2 linked regions of the Drosophila melanogaster genome follow. The protein of the gene in region 2 interacts with the protein of the main gene of each other region in a pairwise test. Each region holds a gene or a part of one and is shown on either strand. Other genes may lie near its edges.

Region 1 (3,274 bases), on a different chromosome or scaffold from region 2:
CGTCAGAAATGTCGTTCCCTCGTAGATCGGAGCATGCCGTGCCTGGAGTCTTTGGTAAATGCCTGTTCTCTATTCAAGGTCGATTGGTCCAAGAATCTGAGCCAAATCAAAACCCCGGCCGACTGCGTTGGCTCCAGTGTGCTCCGGCAGCACCTGTTACGCCGCAACTACAGCAGTCAGTCTTCCGCCGATGATTGCGGGCGGCCAAAGGATTGCGATCAGGTATCGACCTCCAAGGGCTGTGGTCCTGCTCGGTTCAAGGGCACCATTTGCGATGCAGTCAAGGGCGGTAAGCGCAAGAAGAAGGAAGAGCCCAAGAAGGAAAAGTCCAACAAGCCGAAGCTGCCAGCAAAGATGAGGTCCATGTGGTATATACCCGACTGCGAGTACGTGCCAAAGTGCGATGTGCCAGTGCGGTACGACATCCAGCACTACCGCATATCGGACAAAGAGGCCCGCCAGTACCAGGTGACGTGGAACGAGTGCCCCCGGTTGGTGATCAAGCCCAAGAAGGTGTGCATCCACGCAAAGCGACCGCGTCCGAAGCCCTGCCGCCGTCAGCGGAAGACGGTGGTGGCCACAGCCCGTCCCACGATGCCCATGCTTAATCCCATGGAGTGCAAGAAGGCAGAGGACTCCTCACCCTGTCCGCGCTGGACTCTTCCCTGCTGCAAGCCCGCCCGTATTCCGCCCAGTTGCCACCGAGAACGCCGACCTACCGACTGTACCAAGCGCCCGGCGCCGTATCCCAGCTTCTCAGAATGCAAGCGGGAGGAGCTCACTAACGCACCACCTACAGAGTGCCTATGCCTTCGAGTTCCCATGGCCTGCGAGATGTGGGCGGAGCTGAGGCGAAGGATCGCCCGTGGCAAGGGGGCAGTCCTTAAGTGTGGCGAAACGTAGGCGGCGGCGAAAGCACAGTCATTCGACATCTGGCCACAACATTCCGGTCACTTTTCCAACTCACAATCCACCAAAATTACAGTTTTCCAAAATAGCCAATTCATTCCATTCGCACTCCACAATCCACAATCCACAATCCACACTTTCCAAATTCAAAATGCTGTTAAAACGCTGCGGGAAAACCCTAATGCCAGTCGTCGTCCGATTGGCCAGCTGTGCCAGCTCCAAGGGCGGCACCTCGGACTCCAAGTGCAACTCCAATTCGAAGGATAAATGCAAGCCGGAGCCCAGCTGCAAGCGCTCCGCGAAGAGGAAGAACTGCTCCAAGGTCCCAACACCATTCCCGAGCTACTCGGAGTGCAAGCGAAAACAGACTGACCCTAATCCTTCCAAGGAGTGCGATTGCTGGGACTTTGACAAGTGCTGATCCCCGGCAATTTGGATACCGGAGCTCCGGGGATGTCTCTCGCTTATGGCCCTCCCACATTTTCATTCCATAAGACTGAGGACTCTGTACTCATAATCCCGTTGGTGGCACTGGGAGCCTAGGTGTTTTGTCCATGTCCAACCTTTGCAGTTATCCTGGACGCCTATTATAAAGCTTTAATCCACGTCAAACTGACCGACGTTGAACGAAATACAAGAACTAAAAAAGTTTCAATCATTGATTTTTAATTAACTGGATGGGCAATAGGGTTCCATCAAAGATATTAGAATTTCTAGTGCCTTCGGTTCCATACTCGAATCGATATTTAATAATTCCATATTTAAGCTGCTAATGCAACATCATTTATGTACTAAGGAGTTTAATTTGCAGGCGGCGACCGATTGGTCCCGAAAGGCATATTCTTGTTACTTTTTTAATTTTTGAAAAAATAGTTTTCCGATAATCCGAAAACCACATGGGTATTCGACAGATCGAGTAGGCAAACCGTCGACAATCACCAAAAACCATGTGCGTATTTGAAAGATCGAATTTTAAATCTATCTAGTAAGCCCTGCATTTTCATTTCCCCACTAGTTTTTCCCAATACTTTCATTTTCATTCTTGGCTTTCACACATAACAATCTATATGTTCCGGTCTACAAAATTTAATATATGTTTATTATCTCTTCTGAAAACTTGTAGTTTACTTAAAAACTAAAAAAAATCAAAATCATAAATCAAATCAAAATAAATCATATTGAAACACAATGAATTCGACAAAAGCTTTGTTAAGCAGCAGGATAGTGGCCTTCGGACTTGAAAATCTGGTGACGCGTCGCGGAATGAAGCAGTTACGTTTGGATGAAATTCACTACAAACTCAACTCCAATCAAGAGCGAAACCACCAGAGAACTTGGCCACAATCACAGATGCAGCCGCAGATTGAGGAGCGCATGGATGACACCAAATACAGGCCAGGTCGTTGGACGGAGCGGAAATATCAGGCCACCTGGCGGGAAGCTGTCATCCCAAATGAGGAAGCCCATAAGGAGGCGAAGGACTCGCGTTCACAGGAGGAGCGACCCCACATTCGTGAACTCCGCCGAACTACCGACCCCAATAGGCGCCTCCAGAGGATCGCAATGCCTGCTAAACAATTCATCTCGCAGTTTATCTCCACCCAAAGCAAAAACAAAAGGCGTTACGTAGAAGCTGCATCAGATCGAATGGCGTTTGATGGATACTAGCTGATACACGGCTTGTTTTCGCTATCAACTTCGATCTTAACTATTGTGGATTTAATTTGCCTTTGCCTCATATGTTAGATGTCGAGTTTTAGTTTAAAGTCGAATAGGTTTTCTGTGTTGTATAACAGTAGAAACAAAATCAAATTAAATTTGCAATCTTTAAGATAATTGTTTGTTTGTGTTTTATGGTATTAAGGGGTTTTTGATGGCGTTTTAAAAAAATATCGTGTGTAATTTATGCACTTTTGGGCAGGTAAAGTCGAAAAAACATAATTAATTCCATTAAGCAATTATTTAGCGGTGCATGGAGAGAATGCTACAGTCGAGTTACTCGACTATCAGATACCTGTTACTCAGCTAGTGACAATGCGAACGCGTAATATCGTTTTTTTTTCTGGCATATTAATAGATATTAGGGAGTAAAATGAGATAAAATTAATAACATTGTTCAAAAGTGTGGGCGTAGCAGTTTTAGGCGTCTTGAAGGCGTTAGAAGAGGCGTGGCTATGTAAAAAAATATAACAGCATTTTGCAAAAGTGTGGTGACAGATTTAGGCAAATCGATAGAAAAGAATGAAAAAATATCAGAACATTTTCCAAAAGTGTGGAAAAAGTGTGGCAGCATGGGCCAACAAACATGTGCTGTTATCGTTATTAGTTCCAGAGATCGAGGTTTTCATAAGGACAGATATATATA
Region 2 (4,590 bases):
AAAACCGCCAAAAATGTTATATATATTTTAAAAATGTAACGTCACAAAAGTTAATATGAAGACGTGTTTATATTTTTTAATAATTACACATGAATTTGTATTGAAATGAGCTATAAAACTGTGTATAGTCTTACTTACCGGTTCATTTAGCGAAACAAGGTCTGCTTTAGTGTTTTCGGCCGATAAATCAGATGCAATGGATGTTGGGTCATTGACATTCTAAAAATAAAGTACACTTTAAAGATCTAATCGAAATTGATAATGTATGATTTGCACGAAGCTGTAAGTAAACTTTTGTAAGCTGCGTATTAAAATAATGAAGTGCAGCTGAATGAATGTTCCAAAATTTTAAACCAAATCATACAATAATTAATAAATCAATTATAATATTAAACATATGCAATTAAACAACACAGTTCAAAGAGTCGTAGGCTTTTGCCTTATGTTTGACAAAATTTACTCTGCAGAACTGCAGAAGCTTAAATAATTATTTGCTTGTGCTCAAATATAAGCGTTATACCTAGATTAATACCCATGCAGAGTCAGAGTTTTTCGTATATATCTGAGTAGTTCCCCTATCCGTATCCGGTTCCGAAAAGCACATAGTTATAAAGCTTGACTATTTCCAACATTATTTTTTAAAACGCACTTTAAAACAAGAGAGAATGCTATAGTCGAGTTCGCCGACTATCAGATACCCGTTACTCAACTAGTGTGAATGCGAAGCCGAAATTTTATAATTATTATTGGATATCAATAGATATTGGGGAATAAAATGAGAAAAAAAATTTAACATTGTTTAAAAATGTGGGCGCGTCCGTTTTGATAGTTTTGTAGGTGAAAAAATGGGCGGACAACAGTGTTTTTGGTATACAGACAAAAATTGTATGCTTAATCTCAACCTTCTAGCTTTTTTAGTTCCTGAGATGTCAACTTTCATACAGGTGGACACTTCCAGATCGACTCGGCTATCGATCCAGATCAAGAATATATATACTTTATATGGTTGGAAACGCTTCCTTCTGACTGTTACATATTGATCAAAGATCTAGTATACCCTTTTACTTCACGAGTAACCGGTTTAGAATATGCAAAAGTGTGGGGATGACAGTTTCCGCGGTTGATGAACGTTGGAGTATGAGGGCCAATCTTTTAAAACCAACTTGCAGAAATGTCACTGGTATCAGAATGCTGAAAGTGCATATTCATATTCATATATATCTTGAAGTTTAAATGGACAAACAGGCGGAAATGGCGACAACAATTCTAAAAGAGATCCTAATCCATTCCGCCTTTTATCTGATTTTGAAGATTACGAGTAATCAGGACATTAATTCCTTAAACTTGTTAGAATTTCTTTAAAAATATAAAAACGTTTCAACAATATTTTTTTTTTACCTAAATCATGTTTTAAATATTATTGACTTAGATCCAAGTACCTGGACTAAGTTACTAAGTTACAAATACACATTTAGACTTTATGAAGTAAAAAATAAATGTAGCCTTTGCAGGGTATATGGTAAGTTAGGGCAACATTTGCTTTACTTTTTCTTTATAAATATTATGTTAAATAAAAAACATTTTTGAAGCTTGAAGGCGATAATTTAGGTCTGTTATTCTTAAAAATACAAATACTTTTTCCGACGAAGATTTAGTGGTATCCTGTGATTTGCAATTTTCGATAGCTTTATCATCTTCGCCTTTAATTAGAATGTTCGACGTGTCTTGAACAGGTGATTCGTTTTCCGCATTCGATGAATTTTCACCATTAGTACTCCCATCTATTAAGTCCAACTCGAAATTATTCTCAGAAACGGTGGACAAATTTTCCACAGATATTAATGGGTCCGTTTTAATAGATGCATCTATAATAATAGGGTTATTGGATTCGGAGTCTTCTATCTCAACAGTTCTCTCCATATCCGATGAGCTAATATCTAAAGACGGCTTGTCAATTAGTGCAGCTGGGTTTACTTCCAAATCTGTTGTATTTTTTTTCTCTGAATTACAGTCTTCAGATTCGCTTTCTTCAATTTTTAGATCGTCATCATCTTTATTATCTCTTGAAGTGACGGGTTTATCAAAACCACTGTCAATATAAGATACCAAGAGTTTTTCATTGAGATTATCATTATCTTGGGGAGTAGTTTTAATCTCATCAGCGTAATCTATTTGGGTTTCATTTTTTGTAGCAATTTCTTTCTCCTTTAGATTGTAGAAAATATGAGTTTGTAAAGTTTATTTCTATCTATTTATTAAATGGTAATATTACTATTATTTACATTAAAAATGATGGCAAAAAACGTAAACGGTATATTTAGTTAATAATTACAATAATTTATTTAAATAAATGTATTACCATTTTCTCTCTGAGAAAATTGTCAAAAGTAAATGTATAACAATGTAAAAGATGTAAAAAATCTTGTAAAAAATCTAAGCACTTTGAATTTTTTATAGGTGAATATTATATTTATATTAATTAATTAAATATTGTTTTTTGACTTACCTCAATATTTAAAGTAGAATCCATATCTAAAAGCTGTACAAATCTATAAAATAATAATAAAATGTAGAGAAAGGAATTTATATTTGTATCGTCTCAACAGGTAGGCAGGTCCTGCATTATTATTATTACATAAGGGTGTAATTTATAATAAAGCACATGCAACACACTCAGTTATAAAATATCGCATTTTATGCTGAATGTAAATACATATAGAGACACTCAAATAATGTTCGTTGGTGCTGTTATTATGTAATACATAGTGAGAAGCATATACAACATGAATGTTAATTTCTCTTCGACCACACTAACTTTTCTTTTTTTTAATATCCATAATAATAATTTACACGTACATATATCAAATATATCTTTTCACTTGCCTATTTCCCAATGTTATTTGTTTAAAAAAATATTTACTGCAAACAATACTGTAGTATCGAATTATTGAAAGATAATAATACAACTAAAATCCGTATAGGCCAATAGAATGAACATGAATTCATGCGCCTGCCTTTAAGAATATGATTGCACATCAAAGATAGCTTCCACACTGTCCACATGCTTATTTACTTGATTATCGGCTCGTTCGCATACAGCAATTTGGGAAATGTGTATTTAAAAGTCACACACAAATACATTTATTTTCACAAATACAAAAATATTTTCTCGTAAATTTATACGTATGTATACAGCATCTTTGTTCGGCAAACAAGCGCATCGATGAGAGCCCCTTTTATTGGAACGGAGTACTTTATTTACTATTTTTATAGTTATAAGTCGCAGTGTCTTATATGCACTTACATACATACCTTGTTTTTAAAACTTAAATTTACGAATGAGTAAAGTGCGAACCATCTTTAAGTTAACATCGCCCAAATTTGATTATATTCAAAGTAATATCTCGAGAAAATACTGTAACATGAATATACATATATCCATTGATGTTCGATATTTCTTTATAGATAGTAATATTCTCTTTTAGAGATGTTATATTAAGTACACCCAAAATCAAACCACTTTCAGAGGAAACTAATGACGATAACACGAACTTGAAGATACAATAGAAGAAAGAACACGCTCCCTACCTGTTACTTCTTACAATTGGATATAACCTTTCACAGTACGACTAAAAAATATAAATATATTACAAACAATTGTATACACGTTTGAATTTGAACCCTAATATTCATTCGTTGAAAACTAGAATGGCGGAGGGAAGAACTGCTGACCCATAAAGAATATACTTCGAATATTCGAGCAGAATCGCAAGCCAAGTTGATCTAGCAATGTACGTCCATTTTAATTTCGTGATCTTTAAAATTTTAAAAGCTAGAAAGCTAATTTTAGATACGTATGTTCTTAAAAGTCCGATCTTATGCCAATTTGGAACTCGTACACGTTTAAAAACTGTTATTCTTTTAGTCAATTTAGTTAATTGCTTGGACACAACAAAGCGCAAAAATCTGTTAGACCCAAACCTTCAAAAAAGGTACTAGAGTATCATTTGTAACGGACGCAAATACCAAGGTTGTTCAAAAATTTACAACATTTTGTTGTGTAATTGTTTATTTACCATAGTTTTCAAAAACACTGTCCTTCTTCTATCAACACAAAAGCTGACTTTGATGTATTAATATAACTATTATCCGGATTGCAAACACTATTGCGAATAATCTTATTTACATTCGCCTTTAAAATTCGAAAATTTACTTCTCCATAATCTAGATTGCTGTATAGAAAAATTGGTAGTCGGTTACTTATAAGCCATACATTTTGATCTTTTTCTTTGTCTACTTTTAAATCATTTGGAAATTGAATAAGATTTGAGTTTTCCATATTATGAAATTTTCCCAAATGTGCTCGAGTGTATGGTTTCGATGTATCCCAGCATCCAATATCATCTTGATGAACTTGTGTAAAAAACATAATGCCATTCCTTGTAACTCCTGATGTAGATGATTGAGAATTATATCCGCGGTCTCCAATTGGTATGAAGTACTTGGCGTACTCTTGAGTATTCGTTTGCCACACAGATTCGTTTAACAAGATATTCATAGGCACCATGAACTCCTAAATGAGAAAGTATT

Evidence for each region.
Region 1: the proteins of CG1674 (region 2) and CG18449 interact in a two-hybrid assay, tested with the Drosophila melanogaster proteins (one large-scale study listed by BioGRID).

The regions. Positions count from the first base shown.
Region 1 is NT_033778.4:8,366,632-8,369,905, reverse strand, and holds CG18449 (uncharacterized protein), read left to right. Parts: upstream 1-1,978; 5' UTR 1,979-2,097; coding exon 2,098-2,577; 3' UTR 2,578-2,743; downstream 2,744-3,274. Other genes in the region: CG2127 (uncharacterized protein), read left to right, coding at 1-903.
Region 2 is NC_004353.4:229,894-234,483, reverse strand, and holds the start of CG1674 (uncharacterized protein), read right to left. Parts: upstream 3,059-4,590; 5' UTR 2,884-3,058; exon of another isoform or gene 2,857-2,883; intron 2,635-2,856; exon of another isoform or gene 2,550-2,634; 5' UTR 2,531-2,549; coding exon 2,507-2,530; intron 2,206-2,506; coding exon of another isoform or gene 1,636-2,205; intron 220-1,635; coding exon 139-219; intron 1-138. Other genes in the region: yellow-h, read right to left, coding at 4,085-4,573.